4 linked regions of the Diceros bicornis minor genome follow. The protein of the gene in region 2 purifies or fractionates together with the protein of the main gene of each other region. This does not show direct contact. Links are inferred from orthologs where the notes say so. Each region holds a gene or a part of one and is shown on either strand. Other genes may lie near its edges.

Evidence for each region.
Region 1: the proteins of USP15 (region 2) and GLUL purify together in Homo sapiens (affinity purification with mass spectrometry; 3 studies listed by BioGRID, with this or other methods). This does not show direct contact. The link is inferred for Diceros bicornis minor from reciprocal best matches to the Homo sapiens genes USP15 and GLUL.
Region 3: the proteins of USP15 (region 2) and RNF40 purify together in Homo sapiens (affinity purification with mass spectrometry; 4 studies listed by BioGRID and IntAct, with this or other methods). This does not show direct contact. The link is inferred for Diceros bicornis minor from reciprocal best matches to the Homo sapiens genes USP15 and RNF40.
Region 4: the proteins of USP15 (region 2) and SMAD2 purify together in Homo sapiens (affinity purification with western blotting; 4 studies listed by BioGRID). This does not show direct contact. The link is inferred for Diceros bicornis minor from reciprocal best matches to the Homo sapiens genes USP15 and SMAD2.

The regions. Positions count from the first base shown.
Region 1 is NC_080743.1:84,977,275-84,984,520, reverse strand, and holds the start of GLUL (glutamine synthetase), read right to left. Parts: upstream 3,007-7,246; 5' UTR 2,938-3,006; coding exon 2,510-2,937; intron 932-2,509; coding exon 753-931; intron 1-752. UniProt on the Homo sapiens protein: Glutamine synthetase that catalyzes the ATP-dependent conversion of glutamate and ammonia to glutamine.
Region 2 is NC_080756.1:7,670,004-7,677,600, reverse strand, and holds the start of USP15 (ubiquitin carboxyl-terminal hydrolase 15), read left to right. Parts: upstream 1-4,578; 5' UTR 4,579-4,675; coding exon 4,676-4,764; intron 4,765-7,597. UniProt on the Homo sapiens protein: Hydrolase that removes conjugated ubiquitin from target proteins and regulates various pathways such as the TGF-beta receptor signaling, NF-kappa-B and RNF41/NRDP1-PRKN pathways.
Region 3 is NC_080765.1:21,217,821-21,224,844, forward strand, and holds the start of RNF40 (E3 ubiquitin-protein ligase BRE1B), read right to left. Parts: upstream 3,016-7,024; 5' UTR 2,552-3,015; intron 2,444-2,551; 5' UTR 2,372-2,443; coding exon 2,240-2,371; intron 2,206-2,239; exon of another isoform or gene 1,970-2,205; intron 1,821-1,969; coding exon 1,653-1,820; intron 1,518-1,652; coding exon 1,385-1,517; intron 895-1,384; coding exon 688-894; intron 129-687; coding exon 7-128; intron 1-6. Other genes in the region: CFAP119 (cilia- and flagella-associated protein 119), read left to right, coding at 3,115-3,318, 3,644-3,675, 4,256-4,321, 4,493-4,662, 5,246-5,797, 5,871-5,954, 6,563-6,741.
Region 4 is NC_080755.1:40,633,145-40,640,949, forward strand, and holds the start of SMAD2 (mothers against decapentaplegic homolog 2), read right to left. Parts: upstream 3,018-7,805; 5' UTR 2,935-3,017; intron 2,617-2,934; exon of another isoform or gene 2,533-2,616; intron 1-2,532. UniProt on the Homo sapiens protein: Receptor-regulated SMAD (R-SMAD) that is an intracellular signal transducer and transcriptional modulator activated by TGF-beta (transforming growth factor) and activin type 1 receptor kinases.

The sequences.
Region 1 (7,246 bases), on a different chromosome or scaffold from region 2:
TACCTGCCACATAGCAGGCTACAATATATGCTTTATAATATAGTCATGCATTCATTCATTCAAATGTGAACATTATCACCAGAGTGAGCCATCCTTAGAGTAAGTAAGAGGTCATAGTTTTTCTCCTCTGGTCCCTTTCCAGGAGGGCTATGGCTTGTTGTAGACGGAAAAACGAGCTCTTATAACTCCTAGTGGGATAAGCAATCAGACGGTTTAGAATTTCCAAAAGTGGCAGACGGTTTAGAATTTCCAAAAGTGGCATCAACTAAAAACAAATGAATGACTGGTCCTATTTAGAAACCACCTTAGGGCGTTTGCTTTGCATCTAGAACCTGGGTGATATGAGTACGAAACAGTATTCAAAGGGTTTGTAAAGTAGATGGCATACTCAGGTTAGAGCAGTGGTTTTCAAACTGGGCTCCTCAGCGTGCCTTAGAGCCAATCAAGTAGGGATGCCAAAGTCAGCCAAGTCTTTAGCTCTCTCGCCCCCCAAAACAGATTTTTAACCTTTTATCTTCAATATACTGGCTTACATGCAAGATCCCACTTAAATAAAGGGGTGCATTGTTGCTATCCTTTGAGGCAGTGTAGGAGCTTAATGCTAACTGAATAAAGTCTGCAAAAGCCCTGCCTTAGAAAAGCTTTACAAACAAGAATAATGAAGAGGCCAAATCTAGTGACTTGGCCTTGGGCTGCTGCCCACCTCCACGCTGCCCCACCCATCGTGACTCCCACTCCCCCCAGTCTCTCACCTTCTACACACTTGGGCTCACTGTCCAAGGTCCGGGTCTTGCAGCGCAGCCCTTCTCCAGTACCGTCGATCCAGATATACATAGCTTGGACCTTCTCACCCTGAGGCAGGGACATGTACACCTGCTTGATGCCTTTGTTCAAGTGGGAACTCGCTGAGGTGGCCATGGTGGAAGATGTTCTGGAGAGAAAAAAAATGAACACTGACTTCAAACTGATCCTCTGCAGGAAGGATACCATAAGGACAATTGAATCAAGAAGTCACAGCGGGAGTGGCGGCCCCTCCCTTTGGAAGTCCCACACTCAAACCTATATTTACTTACTCTGCTTTCAGGGGGATTAACGTTGCACATTAGATAAAAATCTCCTTTATAAGCTTCCTCAAGCTACAATCTACACTGGTGGGAACTAAGCTCTATTTTCTCAGTGTAGATGAGGTAAGGGAATTGTTTTACTTTTTATACTAAGATACTAGGGGGAAAAACACTTCAAAAAACAAAAAAAAAAAAATTGGGGCCGGCCTGGTGGCGCAAGCGGTTAAGTGCGCGCGCTCCGCTGCGGCGGCCCGGGGTTCGCTGGTTCGGATCCCGGGCGCGCACCGAAGTACTGCTTGGTAAGCCATGCTGTGGCGGCGTCCCATATAAAGTGGAGGAAGATGGGCACCGATGTTAGCCCAGGGCCGTCTTCCTCAGCAAAAAAAAGAGGAGGATTGGCGGATGTTAGCTCAGGGCTGATCTCCTCACAAAAAAAAAAAAAAAAACAAAAAAATAAAATACAAAAGTTCAGAAACAAAGCTTACAGAACAGATATCGTCTCCCAATACAGGTAAAATCCAGCCACAGAAAGGCTTGGCTGCTATGGTTTCTGGGTGAGCCTTCCCTTTTCCTTGTAGCCTAAGGGGTGTCTTATCACGAAGATGTAAAAAAAAAGCTAATTCAAGTTGGATTCTAAGATGCACACTGCCATAATTTCCATCAGTCTGAGGTGAAGTTGTCGCTTCAGAAGGTATTTTAAGTTTGACAAGGGCATTCTGAGATTCCACTAGGGCACTTTTCAAGTAATTCGGAAATTCCCTTTTCTAAATCAAAAAGATCTGAGATTTCAAAAGCTGAGGCATGCTAAAAACTGAAAGCCACCACCACAAAACCTCTGAAACTCTGAAGCCACAAAACCAGCCTCAACAGGAGGAAACGTTCTCTCTCCCCCTCCCCCTCAGTGGCCCAGGGAGACTGGAGAGGGAACACATTGTTCTCCTCCAATGACTTGGGCAACTTTCTGAAGTACAGTGGCAAAGTTTCTATGGGCAACCGTCCATGTTTGCCCAGCTGAAAGCAACTGCTTCTCCCTCAAACAGCCTCACCCTTCCCCTGGGGGAACGGGAGAACTTCGTCTGTCAGGTCGTGTTAGAGGAGAACCAATACCTGTTGGTCGGTCAAATCCCACCCCCAACCCTGTCTTTACCAGAAGGAACAATCCTCATCCCTTCAGCTCCCACTCAAAGCTACAACCCACCCTCCAGCTTTCCTCCCCAATCTGTTACACCTCCATCAAGCCACACTTCCTCCCATAAGCCTCGGTTCGGATCTCCTGCTCTTTTCTGCGAGATGAGTCGGATGACAACAGCCTAGTCTACTCTATCCACCGGTGGCGCCGCGGTGCCAAGTTTACGTGGTGGGGAGAAAAACGCGATTCTGCAGTTTTTAGCTGTTTTTGCAGCTGCCGCCGGGTCCGGAGTCGTTCTCCCTGCCTCCTCACTCACCCCAGCCACAGAAGGTCAACCGTATCGTTGGGGTTGCCCTCTTTAGCCCGTCTCCTTTTGGAGCTGCGTTCGCGCCTCTCCTCCTTCTCCGGCTCTTGATGGTCCACGCACCGGAGCTTTCTGGGCGAGGGAGTCGGAGACGGACAGGGAGACGGCGACGGACAGGGAGACGGGGAGGGAGTCGGAGAGCGATCGGGATCCCAGCGGGACGCGCAGGAATACGCAGGCTGGTGCGTCAAGGTCTTAAGCTTGACTCGCGATGTCTCTCCGGAGTTCACTGAGTAGGCGACGAAGCCGAAGCAGTTGGAGGGGGACTCGGAGGACTGGGACTCCAGGTCGTCTTCATCTTCGCTCGTTGTCTTCTTCGCGGACTTGCGGCTGGGGGAGGATCCCCGCTTCCCGCCCCCGGGGCAACCGGAATAATCCATTTTGAGAGCAGCCTTTTCCCACTGAAATGTCCCGCAAGTCGGCGCGCCCCGCCCCTCCGGCCGCCGTCGGGATCTCAGGGCCTCGCCCAGGGGGCCATAGCCCTCCGAGGGCCGAGGCTGGGGGGGGGGGTGAGGGGGGGGAGTGGGGGCGTCGGCGGGAGGGAGAGCGCGCCGCGGTTGCCTCTGCCCGGCCAGGCCTCTCCACCCGCCGCGCCGCGGCCCGGACTCCGCATTGTTCAGTCACAGTGGAGGGTCCCCGGGACCCCGCGCAGAGGCTGGCCGCACTAACCACGCTCACGGTCATTCGCCTCAACGTAGGCATCTAAAGGGTGGTCAAGACCACGACGATCCCCAAGGCCCGCCACCATGGAAGAATCAGGCTCCCGCGGGGGGCCACCCGGCCACTCCAACCACAACGCACACAACACGGCCGAGCCGGGGGCGCAGGGCCCGGCCAGTGGCTCCCCAGCTCGCCCCGCCGAGTGACCTCCAGCGATGGCGCTTTGGGCCGCAAGCAGCGAAAGCAAGATCAAAACAACTCCCCGCCCTCCTCAAAGCCTGGCGACGGGCGCGCCCACAATCGCCAACCCAGAGCCGCCGCGAGTTCCAGGCGGCAGCAGCACGCGGGCGGGCCCGCAGGCCGAGGCGCAGAGGAGGGGCCGGAGGCGGGAATGGGCCGAGCCGAGCCGAGCCGCGATCGGAGGCGGCGAGGGCGGCGCGCGCCACTTGGAAGCCCCCCGGGCCGGCCGGGCGCCTACCTGGACGGCGAGCAGGAGACAGGGCGGGCAGGCCGCGAGAGCGAGGTACGGAGCGGAGAGGAAAGGAGGCCGCGTGTGCTACTCAAACGCTCCACTCTTCTCCCATCCTCGGCTCTGCAGGGAGGCCCGCGGCCCGGCACCCTTTATCGGCGGCCGGGGCCGCCCCCGGCGCCCTGATTGGCTCCCAGCGGCCGGGAGCGGGCGGATCAGCTGATGCGCGCCCGGGCACCGCGGCCATTGGCGGAGCAGCCGTGCGGGCGCCGCCGGGGTGGGGGCGAGCGGGCCGGGAAAGAAAGAAAGAAAGGGAAAGGGCCGTGGGGGAGGGGCGCGCGGGGGAGGGGAGCGGAGGAAGGCCGGCTGGCTGCGTGCGGAGGGCCGGGTTCCTGCCGAGAAGCACCCCGCCTGCCCCGGATGCCGCTCCCCGCCGCGGGCCGACCGCCGGCCCGGGGCCCTCCCGGTAGCCCCCGTCTGTCCCCGGGTCTAGAGGCGCCCAGGAAACCGCCCCTGGCCTCCGCCCCTGTCGCCTTCAGGTTGGTCGGTTTTGCAGGAGACCCTCGCTTTTACGAGGTCATACTGCAGAGCCCAGAGCTCCGAGAAAAATGACCCCCGGGAACAGAATTTTGCCTTTTGTTGTTAGAGAACCTCTGGCCCCCCCTCCCCGGCGCTCGTCAAGTTTGAGCGGGAGCGCGGGGCGCTGGGCCCGGGAAGCCCTGGGCTGCCTGGGCAATGGCGCGGGCCTGCGGACAGGGCGGCGCAGAGAGAGGCTGCCGAAGGTCGGCCTGGAAGAGCCCCCTCCCGGCGCTCAGTGGCTTTGGGGAAGTGAACAGAAGTTTGCCATCCCACATTTGTAATCAACGTGCTGTGTTTATACTGCTTTTCAAGTTATTTATTGCGCCTTCTTTTTAATCTGAAAAATGAGAATCAGTACCCGTTCTTACTTTCAGCCTTGCTGTGATGGTTGAGAAAATGTGTATGTGAACACAATCTTGAAATGGATGCTTGTCAACAGATGCACAATTGTATGTGCATTAATGCAATAATTAATTATATACACACATACAATATTTTCATTGCTACTGGTGCTGTTAGTTCATTATTCTATTTTTATTGCCTGAAATCCACCTGATGGTGTCTAGCCTTAATTGCATCTTTCAGGAGTCCCAGTATTTGAGATTTTTCTGTTTGAAGACCAAGAAGTCATGCTGCCAGTGCCTTTGGAAGAGGAAGGGAAGAAGTTTGTTCTTCTGGTTATTTTTTGTACCACAAATATGGAAAAGAAATGTTGCCTGTGACCACACACACATAACTTGGCTTCTTTGGTCAACATCCCTTCCCTTTAAGAGTGTATCTAACACCATAGTGCTTTAAAATGACAGATGCAGCATTCATTGCAAACACTGGGACTTTTGGTATGTTTCAGACGGGTGACAATCTGGACTGGGTAAGGCACCTTGCAGGTGTAAGGGACACCGTGTTAAGTTTCCATGCTGCATGTTGAAGCATTATGAGGTGATGCTTAAAGGCTGGGCTTCAGTTCAGACAAACCAAGGTTCAGATTCGGGCTTCACCTCTTACTAGCTTTATATTGGCTTAGTGACTTAGCCACATGAAGCCTCAGTTTCCTTGCCTCCAAAATAGCTACCTTGTATATTGTAGGGAGTGATTGGGATAGCATATGCAAAGGAGATTAGGATAGTAGCTAGGACTAGTAAGTATTTAGAAAACAGTAATATCATTATTATAGGCCAAAATAAACAGAAGAGATTGGATTGTCTTTCCCCATAACAACCCTTAAGTACAACTTTCTAACTCAGTGTGATGTTCCACAGTTAGTTTTATGAGAGTGGGCTTGGACCTGGTGACAGAGTGAGCTGTCTTCATTCCATTTCTTTCTATAAAATCTTGAGTTTCAGTAGTTGAGAAGAGGGAATGGAGGAAGGGAAAGGTGATGCTCTGGTTTTAAAAACATGTTAATTTCCAGATGCCAAACTGCCTAAGCATAAACCCGAGCCTTCTACTGCGCTCATCACCACCAGCACTTGAGGTGGGGATGGCAAACATACTAGCAAATGGACTAGGAAGCAGCGAATGCGGTTTTTTAAGCTTATGGCATCATATTTTCCCTTGTGAGTACCTGCTTCCCTTGCTAGGTATACGAACCTCCCCGAGCAGCTTATTCATCTTTGTATCTCCCAGTGGTGTCCAGGGTGAGTGTTCAATAAGTGATGTTTGTTGACCACACAGAAATGACAGCGGCGCCATCAAGAGAACATGTGCTTTGAGCTGCTTTTCCAAGAATGGGAGCAGATTTGCTTTGATCCATTCACGTGACCGGGTGCACACTCAGTGAGAGTTAGGAAAGTAATATGTGACCACTGAGTCTTTCAGGAGGGAACAAGAGGCCTTGTCCTCCTCAGGCAGCCCCATACTTACTTAAACCAACTGAATTAGGGCCCAAATAGGTCCAAGGACTGATCAGGGAAGCTTAAAAGAGTATGAGGGAAGAAAAAGCAGAAGAAAGTCCTTTGACTAAGAGTTTCGCCCCCAAAAACCCAGACTGTGCTTTTAGAGAAGTTAAAGTGGAACGGCCTGTTTCATCCAGTTTGACTTGGCTGTGTCTGCTGCCCTTTATTCTCTTTCTTCTTCCCTAAATTGCCATCCACCCCCATTCTCCACCCCCTCCATGAGAAGAGCATTAGAATGCTTGAACCCATGAACTCTTCTGTCTCTTGGTATACCCGGTGTCAAAGCTCCCAGGGGACTCTATTACATGTGCTTTGAAGTCAGGTTTTTCTCTCTTAGATAGAGTAGCTATGTCCAAGGGGTGGGTGGAGTGCGGGGGCAATATTACAGGTACATATTTTGTTCCAAATCTGCAGAAATGCCCGGGGACTAAAAGCATTTCTTCAACATTGTTCTGTTTCCTGAAATAAAGGCCTTGTCTTGGGTGGGCTTTACCTGTGAATTCTTCTCTCCATTTCTCCTGCTTTTTTTTTTTTTTTTTTTTTTTTTGTGAGGAGATCAGCCCTGAGCTAACATCTGCCAATCCTCCTCTTTTTTTTTTTTTTTTTGCTGAGGAAGACGGCCCTGGGCTAACATCTGTGCCTATCTTCCTCCACTTTATATGGGACGCCGCCACAGCATGGCTTACCAAGCAGTGCGTCGGTGCGCGCCCGGGATCCGAACCAGCGAACCCCGGGCCGCCGCAGCGGAGCGCGCGCACTTAACCGCTTGCGCCACCGGGCCGGCCCCCATTTCTCCTGCTTTTAAGAGACCGTTCTCACTCTGCAGGTTGTAAGCCCTTAACCTAGTGATCTGAGAGTGTCTTCTCAGGTCTGTGTGTTTGCCTTACACTCATTAGAGACAAGATTTGGGGTGGGGCTCAAACACACCTAAACCTTCAACCGTAACGTGCAGTTTGGGAAATGGAGTTTTCCCTATATTTAAATAATTTCAACAGGCATTCAACAAAACCCTTAACCCGGGCTAAAGAGACACAGCTGAGACCCAGGCTTGAGGAACACCCTGGAAACCCAACCCAGAATTGTCAA
Region 2 (7,597 bases):
ATTACTTGATTATTGATTGAACTTTGATTATTAATCAAAATATAAAGTAGCAATTCAGATTAATCAACTCAAATTAATCAATTTGAAGACTTCATGCCCATGTTAAAATGAAACTTTCCAGGTCCTTTAGGGTAGGAGATGTAATTTTGTTCAAATATTTTAATCTAAATAACTTTAGTTGGGTCAGACAGTTCCTCGGAGTCCCCACAACTCCTTGCTATCTTAGAACGGATTTGCTTCACCCACTTACGTAGCTCTATCTAACCCTTGCAAGCCTTTGAGTTTCAGCCCTGGAAGAATCTAATCACTTCATTTTATAACGAGAAAACTAATGCCCACAGGGATTAAATAACTTGGCCAAGGTTACCCAGGTAGTTAGTGGCACCAAGCCAGAAGCAAAATCGAAGTATACTGGCCCTTTGTACAAGACATTGTATTCATTTCACTACTTTTTCTTTCTGTTTATCAGGACCTAACATTTGTCTGAAATAAAGAGCCTCTGTGTGTGTGTGTGTGTGTGTGTGTGTGTGTGTGTGTGTGTATATATATATATTTTAGTTTTAAAAACGGCATCGTGGCACTTACAATTTTTATTCATATCGCAAGTTTCAAAATCTCATTAATGGATTAAGCACTTTACTACATGCTGTTTTGGCATTTGCACTACGCCCCCGCTTCCACTGCCTTTTAGCTGTTCAGAGAGCTAGTCAAGGGAGGAGGGAGTTATAAAATTACGAAAGAGAAAAGAATGAAGGGCTTAGAGAGGTGAACAGGAATGGGAGGTGCGGTGAGGGGGTAATCAGAGGGAACAACTAGAGGAAGAACAGGGAAGAAGGATAAAGGGAAACAGTGGTTCCTGAAGACCAAAGATAGGAAGAGTTGAGAAATAAAGACAGCTAGGTCATCAATCATTGTTCTTTTAGGGAATGTGTTGATTCTGGCAGATTTTTCCCTAGATTTGTGTAGCCAGCGCCATACAAAACTGTCAAGTAGGCAAAGGTTGTCTTGGAATTCTCCTTTGTACTTTCTTCCATTCAACTCTATTAAAAAACACAGTGTTCTTTCTTCTTTCTGTGGTCCATCCCAGGTTGAAAACTGCCTCTCATTTGACTCCTCAGTTGTAAGCCTGACTCTCTCCTGGAGTGTTTATATTTGAAGTCCTATCTTTTAGTTGTGGAGTACAAGAACCTCTCTGAAAAAGATCACTTACGTATCAGCGAGCTGAGAGGGGAATTATTTGAAAGATGAAGGGATCTTTCCCAGAGTATCTCTAATTTCAGAACCTACTCCGCCTTTATGTAAGGTGCACTTTGTTCATATCCAGCCTAATTTCTAAAGCATCCAGCACACTCCTTTTCCTTTCTCAAAGCCCTAAGTCAAGTTTTTAATGGACAAGAAGGGTACAGAAAGTCTGAGAAGGTAATGACAATCACCAAACAAATAGTACATCTTTATAAAGTTAACTAAGCAATCAATGAAGCATCAATGAAGACATTACCACACAAAATTGGGGTTCTCTTGCCTGATATGCATTAAAAAAACAATTAATTATGGCATCAGCTTTTGGGGGAGAAATCAGCTTTATTCTGCGAGATTGATCTGCAAGGAGAAGGGGGCATGTGCCCTCAGATCTGTCTCCTGGACTCAGGATTTGGGGCAAAATTTAAGTGGTTACGGAAACAGATTGGCATGCGGAAATGCTGGTGGGACAGATTTTGATTGGTGGGCTTCAACCATTTATGGTAAGGTTCTAAACATTTATGACAGCATTCTAAACTTTTATGATGAGTTTCTCAACTTATATGATAGGGTGGGGAAGGAATTTTAACACCGGATCTTCCTGAATGAGGGACTCCTCACTTCTGATAAGAGTCTGACTTTTAAGTTCCAGTCGTGTTCTGATCCTTTGGTTCCATGCGGAGGAGGATCCTTGGTTCCATTGTCATTTCAGGTCAAGAATTCTTCTTCTGCGCATACTCTGGCTACACGACTTTGCAGATTTTCTGAAAGACAATCCTTAATCACTTTGTTGATAAGAGATGGGGTCTGCTCCAACTGGCTCTAAGTGTGCCTGTGGTTACAAAGATGCTCAATAAAAATAAGCAGATATAACCCCAGGTTTATATTCAATTATCTGGGTAATTTAAGGGAAAGTAACATTTCTCATCAATTATCTACTTAGTGATTCAGTAGCGATGCGGACCTTAATTTAGTATTTATGAACAACACCTTATCTCTCTTCATAATTGAGGGTAGAAGAAGCATTAGTAAAACAAGCAGATTTCCATAAATTAGTAAACTGAGGTCACTAGAAAGTTGATTGCTAGAATCAAAATCATAAAGGTCAGTGGAAAAATAGAAACTTACCCAAACCTTCTAGATTCTGGAGCTAGACTGCTCATTTTCAAATTTGGGTTCTGCCCTTGGCCTCAACTCCCCATCTACAGAATGGAAATTATAACATCGACTTTACAGGGTTGCTATGAGGATCAAGTTAATTTAACACTTTAAAGTGTTTAGAACTGGGCTTGGCACTCTTTAAGTGCATGTTAAATAAAATACTGTAACTATCAGTTCTTTTCTGACTCCGAATACATCTAGTTAGGTCAACAAAATGACCTCACAAATCTGACATATAATTCAAGTTGACATTGAATTTACACATCTATATCCAGTTAACTCCTTGCCTTGAACATGGTGCAAATGAAGAAAAGTTATTTTAATTTGTTGCACGGATACAGGCTTCAACATTTCAAAAATGCATTTTCTTTGAAAGGAAACTGAACAGCAGAGTGTGCTTGAGGCATCGCTTCTTGATAATGTTATGTGTATAAATGATAGAAAGCATGGTTTTGCCTTCAAAGTCCATAGTGCTCTTTTTCAACAGCTTTATTGAGATACAATTTACATATGATACAACTCATCCTGTCAATAGCAATGCTAGTGTTTATTAATTGGCTATTATGTCCCAGGCAATAAACACGTTGTTTCATTTAATCTTCATAAAAATCCTGTAAGGATTTTTACTGTCCTCAATTTTATGATTAAACTAAAAGTTAAGAACTTTGCAGCTAGAGGTTGAGATGAGGTTTGAACACACGTTCATATGACTCCAATATTCTTCCCATACTATGCTGCCTCTCTTTGGAAAATTAGTTTGCTCTCTTTCAGAGGTTGGGTGGGAAAGGGGGGAAATGTGATGGTATTCATGGTAAGAGAAACTCTAATTTCTTAACCTGTCAGAAGTCAAATAGTATAAGAAATAGCAGTAACTAGAAACTGTTTTCAGATTCTCAAATCAAGGATGACATAATACAAAATAGTATTATTTTGAAGAAAATAAGCAACTATAACGCTGATGCATACAAATCATAATGCCAACAAACACTACTGTAACTTGGAAGGGTTCAGGACTTCGTACTAGCATAATTACACCCATCATTCCCACCAAATGAGCTGAGGCAGACATTAAAATGGGGAAACAAGAGAGATCATCCAGGAATTCTTAACCATCTTTTAGACTTCCCACATCATCTATGTTATCTTAATAGAGTCAAATCTCTGAACATCCTCATGTTGCCAAAACTCATTTATTAAACAAACAAACATTTAGGTGGTTCTTACATGTTAGGCAGCACTGTGCTAGCCACCGGCTGTACAGAGGTTAAAAAAAAATGGATCCAGTGCAGCCCGGTTTACATTTTAGTTCCGATTTTCGCAGGGAGAGGTAGTGAGTGTGCTGTAGCGAACAGATAGCACGTGGGCTTCGGAACCTGGGGTATAAACTTGCCTCTCCACTTACGGTATGACCTTGGCATTTGATTTTTGAGAGACTCGATTTCCCCATTTGTAACGTAATTGGCTTCAAATAGCTGGTGTTATTATCTAGTTTCAGGCGCACACACCACGGGGAGTTGCGGCCAAGAATACGTCGCTTTATGACATCGAGGAGAAAGGGTTTCTCGCGCGTTTTCTTCCCCTTCGGTACTCCGCATCATTCGATACCTATCTGACACCCTGTCCGCCGAGGAAGTGGGACGTGTTTTCACCGCGGCTGGCGGTCTGGGTGTGCCTGGGGAGGCGGCACAATGACCTGTGGCAGGTCCCCGCACAGCAGGAGCAGGAGCGCTGGAAGGAGCCCAGGAAGGGCACTGCGGCCAGGCGTTCGGTTTCGGATCGTTCTTTGTTTGGGCCAAGATTCAGCGAGCTCGCACGAAAAGCCCAGAGTCACGGAGCTGTCGAAATGTTCTGCCATGTCCTAGCGTCCCCACGCCCCCGCCCCACCCACCGTGAGCGTGAGTGAATGCGCAAATAAGGGCGTTCGGGCGTCTGTGGGAAAGAGGGAGGGGAGGCAGAAGTCGAGGACGGACGGGGCGGTGGCACCGCTCGAGCGGGAGCGGACCGGGGCCCCACGGCGGAGAGTTAGCGCCGGGCGGGCCGGGCCGAGGAGGCCGAGGCGAGCTGCTGGACGGGCGGGGGCCGGTGGGGGGCAGCAGACCACAGCAGCGCGCTCAGCCCGCCCCGGGGCCGACTCTTGTGCCGAGGCGCACCCCCCACCTTCCGGCTCTTTTGGTTTCGACTGCCGGCTGGGCGGGGCCGCGGGACGCCATTCCCACAATGCTCTGGGGCGTGCCGCCGCCGTCGCCGCCGCCTCCGCTGCCGCTAGTGGAAGAAGATGGCGGAAGGCGGAGCGGCGGATCTGGACATCCAGAGGTCTGACATCGCGGCTCTGCTCAAAACCTCGCTCCGGAAAGGGGACACCTGGTGAGGGAAAGGGGCTGAGGTGGCCGCGATGGCCCGAGGATGGTGGGGAGCAGGGCGGGAACTGCGGGCTGGTGTCTTTCGCTGGTGACAGGTGCGGGCAGGTCCGGCGGCGGCCGCTCTGGGCAGCAGGATTTTGGCCACTCCCGAAATGTGGGGGCAAAGATTGGACTCGAGATGAGGCCCGGGGTTGGTGGCCTGTCGGGGCGTGCTGAGAGGCTTGCGGGGAGCGGCGGCGGCGGCTCCTGCGGTTCTCCCCGTCCTCCTTCCTCCGGAGTGCCGCTCCCACCCCGGGCCTTCCCGGACGATGGGCTTCAGCCGCTCGGCGTGAGTCCCTCAGGGTTTGACAGGTCCCGGTGCCGCGGCGGGTCACGGGCTCACCGGCTTCGCTCCTCCAGTCGTTTCCTTTGCCGGCCTCGTCGGCATCCAGCTTCCCTATTATTCGGATTCTTGTATTCTTCCGGGAGGCAGGCTGCAGGATGTTTGCGGCTCGTACTACACAGGTGGCATGTGTCAGGGCGCCACTTCAGGGAAAGAAATCCTAGTTTCCAGTTCCTTGTCAAAAGGAGGGAGAGGAGTAGGGAACCTCGGGCTGCTGAGCGATACCACGTGGTCTTGTGCTTTAGTGGAGGCTCGAGAGAAACCGGTAGCGTTTCTCCTGCAAGTGCAGTCCTTCCCTCCTGTTTGAGGGATAACGTAGGCCTGCAAAAAGTAGATAAGTCCGCTTGAGGCTTAAGTCTCTTGCCAGTATTCAAACTTGTAGAGTACCAAAGGATATACTTAAAATACTGAAGGAGATATGTGGAGATTTTAATACTTGTCGGCCGTATCAAGTGGTATCCGGAATAACTTCGATGTGTGAATATGTAACATAAAGGGAAGGTGCTCTATTAGGAAAGATAATGTGCCTCTTTGTTATAGTAAAAATTATTTTCCCTTCCCAGTGTCACCGTAACAGGGGTATATAGTTTACAGTATTTTGTCATGTACTCCAGTATGGCTTGGTGGAGAGAGCATAAGACTTAGACCTGAGTCAGGCCACCGTTCCAGCGCTTAACTTGCAGTATGACTTTGAGGAAAGTTAATTTAAATCATTGCACCTCGGTATCTTCATCTATGAAATGGACAATAATAATTTCATTATAGGGGTTTTATCTACATTCGGTGAAATATTCTAAAAGATTTTTCTATTTATCACATTAGATTTTAGTTACCTTCTTATCACCACCCTTTACTTCTAGAAAAATGCCCTGGGATTGGGATAATTTTCAAGTAAGCTAGTAGATGGCAGACTTGGGACTTGAATTGAAGTACTTTGATCTAAGTCTTGGTACTTTTTTCCCCACTTCATTAGGCTGCATACTATGTTTATATGATAAAAATCTCTAAGGGTGTAAGCATATACTTCTTGCATTACAGCAAAAAATATGATTTAATAATCGTTATTGTTCATATTGGAGTGTTCCTAAGATGTTTGTTACTGTGGGGAAATTGGACATTTCCTATGACATTTATGTTTACGACACATGTTTATGTTGGCCTGTGGGTTGTTAAAGAGGAAATCAACTCCTGCTTCCTATTGTTTGTTAAAGAACACTTAAAAATTCCTAATTCACCTACCCTATTAACACCTCATGAAAAGACAAATGTGGATTTCCATAAAATAGAAACCTGTAAGTTTAAATCTGGGTATGATTTATATGGATATTGCTTCTCTCTAATGTTATGTTTTTGGTATACTGAGTAATAATTGGTGTTGTTAACATTACAGGATGATAGGAGCAATTTGTGTATTGTCGGCATTAAACTTTGTAAAGTTTGGTATTTTTCAAATGAAAGTCTTTTCGCTTTTTGACAGAGTTACTGTAAATCATTTTAAAGATCTATTTTAGAGATTAAGTAAATACAGGAAGTCCGTAAATTTGAGTGATTTCAGTGCTTTCATTTTAAAGAAAAGGAAACTGAGGCTCAGATATTTATGTAACAGCAGAATGTGCAAATTTTTACCCTCACGCTGATTTCCCCTCCTATTTAAAGGGAAAAAGAAAGCAGGAATGAGATGGTACTGGTGAGTTGGAGAAACCAGTTTGGTTTATATGTGAGCCACTTGCAATTAGCAGGTGAAACTAGTCGAAAAAGGAAATAGTGTAGAGTAAAAGTTTGATTCACAGTTTTAAGGAAAGTAATTTGGTAACTACAAATTTGACAGTGTCTTCATGTGTACAGAACTGGTAAAAATATTTAATAATTTGGTTGTTGAGCTCATGTTTTTGGAACTCTTTAAAAAGTTATTTCTCTTTTTAACGTCTTTAAAAAAAGTCTCTGGATTAGTCATTTCTGGGTCTTTTGGCAAATCCTATCTGTTATTTTATAGCTGAAATGGGTCATATGCAAATGGAACATTGTCTTGGTATATATATATACACGTATATATAAAACCATCTTGGAAAGACTGATTGGTCTATTTAAAAAACTGGTAGGTTGACCATAAGTTTACTCTTGGAAGTTTAATACTGATGTTTTAATGTTATAGTAAAATGCATTAAAATGAATAAATTTCATTAATTAGTTTGTGAGCACTTTTCAAATAAGGACTGTCTTGTAGTACTCTGGTAACTAACTCTAACATCTAGGCAAGGGTAAAAATTTGATTCTGCATGAATATTAGAGTTTCTGTTTATTTGTAAATAGTGAATGATTTTTAGCTGCAAACTGACTTTCTAGAGATAAAAATAAGTTACAAAGTCTGAGATGAGGAAGAACAAACTTTATGATATGCTTGGTACTAGATTTCATGGTGACAGAAAAGTCAAAACTGAGGCAAGAGAGTTATACC
Region 3 (7,024 bases), on a different chromosome or scaffold from region 2:
TCCCACCTCCAACGAGATGCGATGGTGCTTCTCCTGTAGCTGGGTGGCCAAGTCCTGTAGCCGCCGGTTCTCACGGCCCAGCTCCCGTGTGCGTGCCCGAGCCGCCTCACTGGGGGGCTCACTGTCCCCTGAGAAGTCAGGGCTCGGTTAAGAGCCAAGTCCAGGGCAATGGGGCAAAGTACTAACTCATTCTGGAGTCTGCTATGTGCCCAGTGTGATCCACCAGCTGTCTTGCCAATTTCTCATGACAAAGCCAGGAGTCTTTATCCCCACTGTACAAAGGAGGAAACCAGCTCAGAGAGGAGAGCCATTTGCCCAGATTGCCCAGGCTAGAGTGACAAAACTAAGGCTGGGAGAAGATATCTGACTGCAAAGCCTGGGCACTTGCTGCTATGCCTTGTGGATCAGCAACTGCCACCAAGATCTGTGTACAGTGCTCCAAAGAGGTCTCCAGCCAGAAGGGGGTGGCCCCACCAGCATCAGCTCCTCCCACCCATATCTCTAGAGCTCAACTCCAGGATTCACAGCTGGAGCCCCCATCTACAACCTAACTCTTCCGCTGAGAACATGGCTGATCTAATCCTTGGGGAATTCTGGCTGCCTTTGGGCTAGAGGCATTGAGGAGGGGATACTGTGAAGATGCAAATTGCGATGGACATCTCTAGGGTGAGGGCACAAAGAACTAACCTCGGCTGTATACTCGTTGACACAGTTCCTCCACTCGGCGCTGTAAGCGGTCTGAGGCCTCTACAACACGGGACACGGCTGCTTTGGAGAACTCCATACGGCCCTGCAGCTGCAGCTCCACCTCCTCACTACTGCTGGCACCCAGCGCCACCACAAAAGCCAAGGCTGGCTCGCTGAGTGGGGGCCGCAGCTGCATTGGCAGGGTCTCTGGGAAGGAAGGACACACTCTCATGAGGATAAAGGCAGCAGTTACCACCACTCTGCACCAAGTTCCAGACCAAGCCCTTCAACACTCTATGGCTCACTGAATCAACACAACCAATGCCTGTAGTACACCGTTATCCCCATCTTGAAAGTGAAACAACTGAGGTTCAGGGAGGTAAAGTAATCTCCTCAAGCCCACAGAGCTCCCAAATCACTTCCTCAGGGAAGTCTTCTCTGCCTCTCCAATCTAAATGAGAACCACACACGTGTACACACACCCTAATTCCCATTCAAGGAGCCCTATACTTTTAACATATGGTTCAAAATCACTTCCTCCCTGGTGGCAAAAACAGTATTTCTTTTTGCTTATTTCTGTCTCCTCCATCTAGAACGGGGCCAGGGAATTCAGGAGCCTAATATCAAAGTCCCCTCCTCTCCAGGACCTTTCCCAGAATTTAATTAAGCTCCCCAGATCCTACGGCTCTGGCCCTACCCGACGTCCCTGGCTCTGTAAGAGGGGTCTCATCACGTGTTGGCCCTTCCTGGGTCCCAGGCGCCTCTGTCCCTGAAGACAGCTCCCCCTGGCTCTCATGGTGTCTGAGAAGAGCTTCCACAGTTTCATCCAGCTGAAGGGAGAAAGCACCAAAAATGTTATGAATCCCTCAGGTGCTTCCCCAGCATGATACTCCTTTCCCAGCAGAGGAGTCTGAGGATTGGCAGCTGGATTAAGGCCAGGTCGTGGCAAGCAGAGGGGCATCCACCTGGGCCCAGTAGCGGTTGACAATGAGGAGTGTGGCATCATCTGTGGCCTGCCGCTTCTCCAGCTTCTCAATTCGTTCTCGGAGTTCATCTTCACAAGCCTGTCGCTGTTCCAACCGCTCTGCTAGTTTCTTGTTCTTGAACTGCAGCACCTTCAGGTCCATCTCCTCCTACCAAGGAAACAAAGAAGCCAAGGACAGGATCAAGCAGGGCCCAAGAAACCAACCAGAGAGAGACAGAGGAAAACAAATGGAATGGATGGGAAAGGGAGACTGCTCCCCAGACTGCTAGCAGGATTTAAAGAGGCTCAGGTACCCACAGAGAAAGCGTCTTGGTTGTGAGGCGGGTCATGTTCTCCTGCCTCTTTCTAACTCTGAAGTCTCTGACAAGTCACACGCGCACTGGGCACCTGTTTTCCTATCTGTAAAGGGAAGGCAGACGTCATGTCCTCGGTTTCCCTCAACAGAGTGTTCTGTAAAGGGGCTCTTGCTAAGCTTGGGGGACTGGGAGTAAGGTTCCGGAAGATTTGGGAGAAGAACAGAGATTGGAGTCTGGCAAGTTGTGAGGGCTGGGGCAGGAGCCCACGAACCGTGGAAGAGATGCCCCCAAGACGAATGGGCTCTATAAGTGTGGTTGTGGTCTTCTCCTCACGGCTGAGCTTCTTCTCTGGGGGCCCCGAGCCCCCGTCGCCGGCGGCGCGTTTGTTGCCGGGCCCAGACATGGCCGCGGCGGCGAGGAGCGGCGCAGCGTCTCCCGAGGGACGTCAGGCAGGCGGAGGCGGCACGTCTGTCACCTGCAGAAGACAGAGCGCACAGATGTGGAAGCAGCCGGTGCTCCGCAACCCCGAGCCTCCCCCGCACACAAACGCTGGGTCCCGCCCCGCCGGCCCCGGGCCCCTCACCGGCAACAAGATCAACCGAGCCCCGCCATCTTGGACTTCACCGGACGTCACCGGCCTCCCCAGCAGAGAGCGCAGGCGCCAGAGGCAGTGCCGGATGTGGCGAACCTCCTTCATTTCCTGTTTCTATTGGTCGCGCTTTGTCCCGCCTCTCGGGTCCGGTCTGGTGTCTTCCTGAACACTTCCTCTTTCGCTCGGTGATTGGCCAGTAAAGGGTTCCCATGGTAACTGATACTACACTTTCACTCCCTAGCCCTGATGACATCGCCTGCCTCCTGTTAGCCACTTTGAAGAAAGGGCAGCGGGACGGGGCTTGCAACTTACTACGCATGCGCACTCTCTTTTCACTGATTGGCAAGCGCTTTACACTTTCACCCTTCCTCCACGAGACTCCTTAGCAACGGTCACCGTTGAGACCGAGGGAGACGCCCCTCGCGCATTGGCTGCCCCTGGCGTCTCTGCAGCATAGATTGGCTGAAGCGTCGTTAAAGGGCCAGGCCTTGGCAGTCGCTGCCCGAGAACCGGCTGTCCCGGAACGGAGGCGGGACCGCGGGAGGAGCGACGAGATGATCCGCCAGAAGTCCAGCCAATTCCTAGGACTCAGAATGCAGTCGGAGCTTGAAGAGCCCTCCGAACAGCGGCGGGAACCCGACAAAAACCTCAGCTCAGTGGATGAATCGGCTACGCGGATGGGAACAGATGTGCGGATCGAGTCGGGGACCGCGGCCTCGGTGGAAGCAGATGATGATCCTGCAGCCAACTTGTTCCCGGTGAGGGCGGGACAGACTGGTCCTCTCATGAATGTTTATAAAAAGGCTCCCCAACAGGGCGTCACCCGTCGTTATGTTTACTAACGTTCGAGACATTTTCCGGGCTGCCTTAGTGAAGAGTCAGGGGTGTGTGAGCCCGATTGTTAATACGCTCATGAATAATATGTAGGTCCTGCTGAAGCCCAGCCCGCCAGCGTTGCTTGTACATAGTCCTTAAATGAGAAGTTAGCTCGTTCTCAGGCCCGCTGGATATTCGCGATGGGCCAGGAACTAGGGGCCAGGGACAACATAGCTCTGCCTTCCCCAATCCGCTTTCTTTCCGCAGCCGCCGCTGCCCCAGCCCCGGATCTGCATGTGGTGAGTGTGAAGAACCTCGGGAGAAAGTTACACTTCACACTTGCATTATTCCTTTAGTGCTTCCCCAACAGTCCTATCAAACAGCCAGGACATCCCCATTTTACAGATAAGGAGACCAAGGCCCAGAGATGCAATTAGCCAAGGGACTAGAAGCCAGCTCTCCTGCCTTCCCACTCCAAAGAGAGTGTGGGAAGAAGGGAGCCAAAGACTGAGGATGTAAGTGGAATATCATAGCCACTATGGAGCATTGTACAAATGGGGACACTGAGGCCCACAGGGGGGTACTTGCCCAAAGTCATACAGCAAGGGAATGGCAGAGCAGAGATAAGAATTCAAGTTTCCTAACCCTAGGCTTTATAAACGAAGAGAATCATAAGAGTTCATTTAGGCCATACCCGTTATTTAGAGATGGAGAAAGTGAGGCCTAGAGAGGGAAGTGACACAATTGCCTAAGGTTACACAGCAAGTTAGTGGAAGGGCCAAACCTCAACTCAGGTTTCCTGGTTCCCAGCCCAAGGCTCTGTCATGAGACTAATGCATAATGGCCACCAACACCTTTTCTCCTCTTTTCCTGTGACAGGAAGTACTTGGACATCCATTCCATGCAGAGGCTGGAGAAGACAGCCAACGTTCAGGAGATGAGGGAGTATGGGGGGAGGGGGGAGAAGGAAGGGGAAGAAGAGCTCTTGGGAAGGCGGAGCAGGGTGGACTGGGAAGGCATGAGGAATGTTTGGCTCCAAAGCATGTGGTGCACTGGGGGGAGGGGGGTGCTGAAGGGAGGCTCCCGTTGTCACTCACTCCCTCTCTCTCTCTCAAGGGTGCTGGCCAAGCTGTTGGGGCTAGGCGGTCCTGAGCAGAGCCTGCGGGATGCCATCACCCTGGACCTCTTCTCTCATGCACTCATTTTCTGCCGCCAGCAGGGCTTCTCACTGGAGCAGACATCAACCGTTTGTGCCCTGCTCCAAGATCTTCACAAGGCCTGTGTTGGTGAGAGGAGGCGGCTACTGGAGGATTTGAGCTCAGGGAGAGGAGGCTGGGATGGCACAAGTGACCATGGGAAGTAGAAGTAGGGGGAATGCCACTGGGAATCTTTGTTCTGTCATTTCTAGCACTATTATCACACACAAGTTATTTCTCCTTTGAAATCCTCCATTTCCTTATCTATAAAACAAGGATATAGCACTAAATTTATGAGACTGTTCTGAGAAATATGTAATATATGTAAACATATTCACAATGCTCAATAAAATAGCTCCCCCCTTTATTTTCAGAACTGATTTTCTTCAGAATGTTTAACAAGAGCTGAAATTATGTGCTGTTGGTTTATTATATGTCGCTTCCACTACAATATAAGCTTCATAAGGGCAGGATCTTGTCTGTCTTGTTCAGTGCCTAGAACAGTACATAGTGGGTACTCAATATTTGTTGCGTGAATTAACAAAACAAGCCAGGACTTAAACCTAGGTCTGTCCACTTCTAAGGCTCATGCTCAATAAGTAGCTGTTGAGTGAAATGAATGACTGATTATGACGGAGGGGACTCATTTGTCACATCTTGCTTCCCCTCCCAGCAACCCCCCTGGGCAACGTGGAGGAATGTTACCGCTACTTCACCAGTGTTCTTTTCTGCCATGGAGTCAGGGTCAGTTCCCCTGGAACTGGAACTTCACTCTCCCCCAGACAAGGTCTAGTCCAATCTCCTGCCCTCTCTCACACTCATCACCCTCATCTTCCTCTGAAGGCCACAGTGGGCTCTCCCCGCTCCTGTATTGCGGGGCCCTTGGAGAAAAGGCCAGGGCTTCAGGAGCTGGTCAGTCGTCTAACTCCTAATCATCCCCACAGCGGCCCCCCTTCAGTATCAACCTCTTTAAGGAGGAACAGCTGCTGGCCCTGGCAGATTATGTGGTCAACACCTACTTTCGCCACTTCAAGCTCTACAAATATGTCTTCACACCCCAGGTACTGGGCCATGGGCTACAAGAGGCCACCCCTTATCTCCCCCTTTCCCTCAGTGCAGATGCCCTCCTCTCAGCCACCCTCCTCCTCTTCTCAGGTGCGGTTGGATCTATCTTTGACTTACATGGGGCTACAGCCACCCAAGCTCGAGCCAGAGGATGAGATGGGTAAGGGAGAATGCTGGGACCCGGGCTGGGGCTGGGGCCAGGGCCAAAGCCTCTTCCTGCTTCTGGCTTGCAGAGAAAGAAGGTGGCGAGGAAGTGGAGGAGCAGGCAGTCACCCCACAGGATGAGGAACCGGAAACAGTGGTCCAGGAAGAGCCAAGTGAGGACCTGAAGGGGTTAGGGTCCTCTGTGACTTTGGGCAGGTGTAAAATGAAGGGTTTAGACCACATTGAGACTTCAGACTTTTTGTTTTAGTCATGGTGTCCTTTCTCTAAATGATTTCTTATGCAGAAGTCCAAGATGACAAACAGATAAAAGCACAGTCGCTGGGGTGAGGCAGGAGTTCCAGAAAAAGATGATTATAAAACTGATGACAATAATAGCCAGCACATACTTAGCAATGCTGTTGCCAGGCCCTGCTTTAAGCATTTTACATATACTAACTCATTTAATCTTCCTTCAATCCTAGGTGCTAGGTGCTATCATTATCCACATTTTACACAAGAGGAAACTGAGGCATGGAAAGGTTAAATCTGCCTAAAGTCCTGCCTAAGGTCCCACAGCTACTAAGTAGCAATCCAGAAATTCTGGCACAGCCACTCTGCCCACCCCTCTCTCACAGAAGGGCTGGCGGACATTTCCTGAATTGAAGCAACATCGCCACCTGTGTAGCCCCCAGGGGACTCTGGAGGTTGTGTTGCCCAGCTAGGGGCAATCCCTTAGCCCCAGCACCTCTCCTGACCTGCCCCTTCTTCCCTGTCCCTGCAGGCCAGGTCTCCATCCTCCAAGCCTATATCAAGACCCAGCTGAACAAGGAGCTGGGGCAGCTGCAACAGCTGGTGGAGGAGCGGCTCAAGGCCAGTGAGGACAGGCTCAGCAGCAAGTTGACTGCACTAGAGCAGCCTTCCCAGCTACCTGCAGGCAAAGGCAAGAGCAAGACCAAGTGACCCTCAGTGTTTCCCCAATAAAGGCCTGGGCCAGAGCAGCTCCATCCCCGTCCCACTCCTCCTGAGCACCTTCTGGGCTTCCCTGCTGAAGCCAGACACCAGACATAGGGCACTGGCTCTACCTGGCAGGTAGCAGATTTTATTGCATACGTGGCACAGGCAGCACTGACAAGGCCAGGCGTGGCCTTCTGAATGGCTCCTTTCCACTTTAGCTTTGACCACAAAGCCCTGGCCAACGGGGGCAGGGTACAGGGCTGGTCCATATGGTAGTATGATCAGTGGT
Region 4 (7,805 bases), on a different chromosome or scaffold from region 2:
ATAAATGCTACTTGTTCAATAAATGCAAGTTATTTGTTGAATAAATGCATAACCTCTCCTGAATTGGTTTTGAAATCTTTCTATTTCACATTTTCTGACATACCTTGGCAATACTCAGTGGAAAACATCTTTCCTCTTACAGAAACTAAGAGCTTAAAAATGGCTCCTCTACTCCCATCAAAAGACAAGGAATCCAAAAGACATGCCCCTCTCCAGCCTCTAAAAATGACTCTTGTCCCAAGAATATGAATAAACCACCATCTGCCAGACTGCACTAAATACAGCTTTTATATGCATTACAAAAACACCTGTATAAAAAAGCTGCTACAAAACGAGGCCTTTGGAACCCTAAAGTACAAAACCAACAGAATCAAAACCAAACAAGAATAAGCAGGGCTTTCAGATCTTTATAAAGCCAAAACTGAAAATATTTGCAAAAGGTAAAATTCAATAGGTCTTTGATCAGCAGATTATGCAGCTAGAGTGTTTTTCACTCACATATTTTTCCCATTGTGAAGCAACAAGATTATAGCAACACGATTCCAATATTTATAATACAAAAATGAAAAGGGGACCTTTTGCCACCTTCAAGTAGAAACAACCTTTGTTCCTATTAAAGAGAATTTCTGCTGAAATATACAAAACCATCCCCAAATTCTTTCTTAAGAGTTAAAACACATACCAAGCCTGACAAGCCACAAACAACAGGAAATTGCCCTGCAGTTTCTTACAACACTATTATTTCATGAACCTTACAGATTGTGTAGAGATTTGAACACTTATTACTAGGTACAGGTAAGTTACAACCTTGAAAAACCAAACTTTTGTTTAACACCTATAACCTGAAATCACTTTAGAAAGCATAGCTACAAAGTATAAAAACCAAGCTTTAAGAGCAATTTCCTACTAAAACAAGCCCAGAAACGGATGTTCCCAGTCACATTACATTAATTAAAATTGGCCAATGAACTACTTTAAACTCATTTAATTTTAACATTAAGAGTATAACGGGGCACTTACCTTACACATGCCCACACACTTGAACTATTCTTATTTACTACCACAACTAATTTTACGGCAAAAACTAAGGAACTTTAAAAACGAAATTAGCGTTACTTTCTGAATTTAATATAAATGTTTGCTAAACGACCTTTTGGTGGAGAAAATTCTATCAATATCCCATATGGGTTTTTTTAAGCAAATGAAAAAATTCTCAAACTACAATACATTTATGAAATCTACATTATTTTTCCCATCTCTGTTCTATTTGCTTCACTTATTTATCTGGTCACGTTAAAACTCCTCAAACTTCATTTAACTATTTGATTTACACTTTCATGTAAGGAAATCTTTTTTTAAAAGGAGGTCAAAACCAGAATGACAGCAAATGTATTTTCAGAGTACTGACAGCAAATTTATCATCTTTTTAGGCTTAAGAAAAACATCCTTACAATCTGTGGTACAGGCTCAATTCATATGAAAACAGAAGCGAGAAAATGAAAAGGAACTAAGATTACAGAATCACTCAGAATTCTAGAAATTAATTCAAATTTCAGGGACCACTTTTAGAAAGATGGAATTACTCTAAGTCTGCGTGATCATTTATTTATTCATTAACAATTACTTTACATGTGCCGTTTTAAAAGTTTAAAACACCAAAATTTAGGATACTCCAAACTGTAACAAATAAGACATCGCTGATAGAAAATACTACTTCCAAATTCGTTTTACATGGAGATTTTTTTAAATAAAGGTTTAGTTGACAAGAAACCGGTAGTATTTAGCTTTTAAAGGGTCAAGAGGAAGGAATACCAAAACCAACCTAGGTATTGTTTTTCTTTTGTTTAGGATCAAAAGGAAACCACAACCACATAAGGGTTAAGTCAATAAAACACAAAAATACCCAACCCAAGGACAGTATCCCCCAGGAGAGAACAATTAAAGTTGCAAATTTGAAACCGAAGTTTGAAATACGTGAAATCAATTAGCGTGCTTTCTAAAGGCGTGTGACAAAAACTAACAGGCTCCACTCACAGAGCAACTTTCACAAGTGAGCAGAGAAGAATCTCGACAGAGTACCAGCACCAGTGTGCGTGTTTGTGTGAGAGCACACACAAGCAATTCGGAACCCCGAGACTACAATGGTTCACAAAGGTTACAGGACCAGAAAAAAATTAAAAAGTGGAAGCAAAGCAACACACGCTCGTAACACGGCTCCCCAACAACTCCTGCAACAACAGCTCTGTCCCTCCGGCTTTGAACATCAGGACCAACTACCAAGTGTGTTGGCGGCGGAAGGGAAGGGCCACAGCCGGCCCCGGGCCCGGCGGGCGGGCAGCTCCGGGCGCCGACCCCTTCCCGCCGGCCGACCGGCCGGCCCCGCGCTCCGCACCCAAGGGCCGGGCTCGCGCTGCCCCGACCTCGCCACACCCCAGCCCCCAGCCCGTGGCCATGTGACGCGGCGAGCCTCACGACTCGAGCCCAACACAAACACACCCCCGGCCCCGGGGCCCGCCGGGCGCCCGGCTGTACCTGCACCGAGGCTCCGGGTCCCGCCCCGTCAGAGCCGGGGGTCCGGGACCTTTTGTTCCTTCCTCTTCCGAATAGGATGAGGGGAAAGGGGAATGGGCGATGGGAGGCGGAACTGAAAACACTCTCGCGGTCGCCCGGCCTCCCGCCCCGCCCCCCAGCCAGTGCCCGGCCCGCGGCCCCGGCGCGCGGGGAGGGGGCGCGGGCCCGGCCGCCGCCCGCGGGGAGGAGGGGGTGGGGACGCGCGTCCCGCCGCCGCCGCCCCTCCTCCCCTCGGGCGCGCGCCCGCACCCCCCACCTCCTGGGCCGCCCGGACAGCCGAAGCTCCGCCGCCGCGTCCGCCGGCCCACCTCCGCTTCCGCCCTGCGCCCTCCGCCGCCGGCCACAGCGGCGCGGCGCACCCACCTCCGGGCGGCTCGCTCCGCGCTCGCTGGCTGCTGGCTGGGAGCTGCTCCTCCGCCGCCGCGGCCGCGCGGTAGACCCGCCTCCCACCCCGGGCCGCGAGCCCCGCCGATTCGCCGGCGCAGCTCCGGGGCTGGCACCCTGCCGCCCGCTGATTGGCGCCCCCGGCCGCCCGTTAGGGCGCGAGGCACGCCGGCCGAGCGCAGCGCTCTGCGCTCACGGAAGACGGGGCGAGCGGAGGAGGGAAAAAGGAGGTCGAGCGCCCGGGAAGGGCCGGGGCGCGAGCGGGACTCGGAGAGTCGCGGGCTACTACCTCCCCACCTCCTTTCCCTTCGGCCCGGCCCGCCCTCCCGCCGGACTGGCGGCGCGGGCAACCAATCAGCGCGCGGGGTGCTCGGGGTGTGAGCCGCGCGTCAGGGGCCTCGAATCGGAAGGGAGACGTCGCTCGCTGATTGGTCCCGCCTCCCCCGTAGAGCGTGAGGCGAGGCGCGGGCAGGCGGGCGGCCCGGCGGCCGAGGACGAGGCGGGGTGGGACGGCTGCGGTTTCGGTTGACTTCGTCTCCGGCGCGCTGCACGAGAGGCTCGGGAAGGGAAGGGAGGGGAAGGCACGTAATCTGCGGCGCTGGCGACCACCCGTCCCTCATTGCCTCGGCCCCGGGCCCCCTCCTCGGTGTCTCGCCAGCGCCATTGGGTGCGGCCTGTTGGGGGCCGCCGCCTGGTCCACCTTCCGTAATCAAGCCGGGCGTGGATACGTGCTCATCCCCTGGGGAGGCCCGGGGGCCGCCCGGAGGACGGGACGAGTCAGGGCAGAAGGCGGCTCCGCAGAAGCCGGGGTCCCCGACCCACACTTGGCGCGCCCGTATGCGAATGAGTGGGCGGGGCCGTGGTGGTGGTTAATGGGGGCGAGGTCCGAGAAGTAACTAAGCCCAGGGCGGGGCTTTTATGGGTATTAGGGCCAGGGTAGGGGATGCCAGGTATTTTTGTTTAACCGGAATTTTGGTTCTGTCTAATGGTGTTAATCATGCATGCTCTGATGGTCCTTGCGAAGTCTGAAAGATAAGCGCCTAGCACGATGCCCCGTGAATGCTGGGTTATTTTCTCCTTCATTTCTCCACTGTTCAGACGAAGTTCTTAAGCCCCAACTTCCCACGTCTGCGCTACAAGGCCCTAAGCTGCTGGCTGCCTGAAGCTGGTGGGGGCGTAACCGCACTCGGGTAACCTTGTCGCTTGTACCTTACGGACACCCAAGCCTTCGCTGAAATATTGAACCCAACTAATCACATCAAGTATTTATTAAGCACCTACTATGTTAGGCAGGGAGCACTATAGAACTAAAGTTGGAAAGAAACTTAGGTCTCACAGAGGTGTTGGTGGCAGAGGCAAGACTAGAACACGGTTTTCTTGCCTCCCTGTCAGCACTCCTTCTCGTGTACCTCCTTTCTTCATGGATTTAATTGGGGACTCAAGACGAACAAGCGGGAAGGCGGCACTAGCAATACAAATCACTAAGCAGGAAGTACCAAGTGACCATTTCAAACAGTAAGAGTTGTTGAAGTGTCCTCTTTCTTTTCAGAAATGAACGCCTCCCGGGGAACGATGCCTTCAGATGGACCTGGAGAGAGACGGATTTAGCGATCCTCTGAGTCTTACAGGTTTTCCAGATTTCCTTTCAAAATCTCCTTCATTTCCACCATCTCTTTCCTCAAACATGGAAGTACTTTTCTCATCAAAAGATTGTGATGAAGCACATGAACCCTGGAGTTAGGCAAATTGTAGTTTTGAATGCAGCTCTGTTCCGCATCTGTGGTCATTGGCAAGTAGAACTCACCTGCACTGATAGCTATTTAAATATAGTTGTGGGATGATTAAGTAAAATAAGAAATATGAAAGTGAATAGCACGAGTCTTTGAAGTTAAAAGAAAATCCATAATCGTTATGGTTTCTTCCCTTGTGTTGCCTGCATGCATTTATGCTAAGATGAACCTACTCAGCAGAAATTTTTCCTTCAGAAGTTTACCTCGGGGGTAGTTCTTCATTGTCAGTTTAGAGGCAGCTCTACTCACTGCTTTTTAAAAATAGCTCATGAAGGAGGCCCCGGAAGCCAATTGGTGGAGCTGTTACACCTCCCAAGACTTCTGTGTCCACTTCCCAGAGCCACCCAGGAGGATGGTCTAAGGCAAAGGCTGTTTGATTTAGAAGTAGAAAGACTGTTTTGGAGTTTTTGGTCCTTCCTGCTAACACAAGTCAACAGTTTTAGTATGAAATGGCCTATAAAAAGCTACCCTGGGTCACACAAATATTTTCTCCTATGTGACCAGGGTGTGCGTTTGGGTGTCCATGTGGGTGAGTAGGAGAAGAAACAAAAGCAGGGCTAGCCAGAATTCCAGGAGAATCTGCTCCTAGTGTGGGAGTTAGGTACTTTGAGGGATACGTTAATACAGTGGATAATATGCTTAATTCTAAGTTAGACCATGTCTCCAAAGTGTCAAACTTTGGGTCCCTAACCCTTCCATTTAGGAAGCCTTCCAGGATCTGTAGGATTGAGGAAGGAGAGGAGCAGCATCTGGCTACCAATGCAATGTGCTAAGGGCTTAGGAACCAGAGCCTGTCTACGGTGCGCTCTGCTAGAAATGCATCTGAACCAAAGTGGGTCAAGACAGAAACTGGCAGTGGATGTAGCAGGATTGCCGTGGCAACAACCAACTTGGAAATCCACTAAGGTACCTCAAGACCTATCATTAGGTCCCTACTGTATGAATTATGTTGAGTGAGTCTTATTTTTATGTGGATAGACACCGAGTTTAACCCTGCATCACGCATGACACTGCAAAATCAATTAAATCAAAACCAATTCAGAATCCATTTAAAAGTAGTGAAATGTAATGGAATGACACCTGAGAAAAATGATAATGGTGGTTGCTTCTAGAAAAAGAACCTTGGAGTCATGAGTGGAAAACTTAAATTTCATCATTAATTTTCTGTAGTTTGAATTAAAAAAACATATATATATATATCCATGTATTGATTTTTCAAAAGATAGAACTCATACTCCATCTCCTCTCTGATAAATCTGAAAAGCCTTTCCTGGTTACCCCAGCCGAAAGGATATCACTATCCTATGAATGCTCTCTAATGGTTGGAATAATTTACATACCATGACTTCACTTTGATTAGTGTCTTGATCTGTTAGTTTAGTCTTGAGGGGTTTTTTTTTTTAACTTTACTTGTGTGTATGTTTTGTCTCCTCGTTTAGATTGTAAATTCCTGAAGGGCAAGGACAGCATCTTGTTGTCAGTCGTCTTTGCACACCCTAAGATAAATACTAAGTAATTGAAGAAAGGTGAAATTCAACATTTGTGTAGTGGAAAATGTGTGTCATAGGTCTGCAAGCATTCTTTCCAGCTTTGCTCCGTCCTTAATACAACTGTAGAGTATCATGTCAACATCCAGTCTCTATATTTGCTTATCCTGGTGGAACTAAGTTGTAGTGAGCATTACTACATCTTAAAGGTCCAGTTATTTGCAATTGAAAGGACACTGATTAAATGAGATAACCAAAGTAAAAATTGTAAAGAGCAAATGTATGGGGTTACTTTTGTCGTAAATGATAATGAAGAACTCCGACACCAGCTGGGTTTTTATCTCGCTACAATGGAATTTCATGTTTTAAATGAACTTATGTTGAAGATGTATACACCTGCCTCTACACACACACACACACACAGTCCTTATTCACATGCTGGTTTTTATTAAAATTAAAAAAATATTTAACATCTGATGGGAAAAGCTGGAGACAAGAATAAAGTAGATACAAGAAAAAAATTAAATTCAGCAAGTGTTTATCAGGTATCTGTTTTGTGCCTATCATAAAAGCATTGGTTGATCATGCTGGAAAATTCTTATTTTATGGCCAAAATCCTCAAGAAAACAAGACATACAAGTAAGGTTTTTTAGATTTATAGAGAGAAAGAGATTGAAAGAGAAGTTGGCTCTGGTTGAGAGAAAAATATTTGGTGAAAACAAGTTACATTTCGCACCATTCTCCAGGCGTCTGATACTTAATATTATATTTCTTGTCCATGTATTTAAAGGCATAAATAATCAGTGAGTCAGTTGATCATTAGATAGCTAATCCAATGATTATTCAAATATTACTTGGAAAATTACAATACAATTTCAGTGCAATGAGCACTCCCATAAAGGTATTTAAATATTATCTGACATCTACATATTTTGCAAAAAAAACTAAACGGGCCAATGTCTAAACCGTGAGAGAACAATGTACAAATTGTTTACAGTTCTCTTGTAAGGGGGGACAATTTGGTAGTCATATATCAACAATAGGGCCTTATGCCTTGATGATTATTGTCTGTGTGTGACAATATCGACTGAACCAGAGTGCTGCTAGGCAAGATAAGTGTATGAAGGTATAATACTCTTGGAAAATTTCAAGCATATTAGCATAATTGCTCTGATGAAGACTGAAGAGCTTATTTAACATAACTGACTAGAGTAGACAATAGATGCATAATCAGTATCCTAATGATTGAATTAATGAGCCCCAATTGTTTGTCCTTGCTGTAAACAGTCCTCAGCTATGAAAAAGACATTTTGCTGAAGGAGTCTGACAATCACGTTAGCTAATGAGTGGCCAGAATGTAATTAATGGTGGGAGAGAGCCAATTACTATTGGGTCCTAAAGACTTCACTGGTGGATTTCAAGGGATAAATTATATAGCTATGTAGAAGTTTCACATTGGCTCCTCTTTGCCTTCATACAGTCGTGGAGCTTGATCAATGCTCTTATTTTGCAGCTAAGGAAACAGGCCCAGGCTTCTCCCAAGTCCTATGCCCACTTAGTGCCGGAGATTATG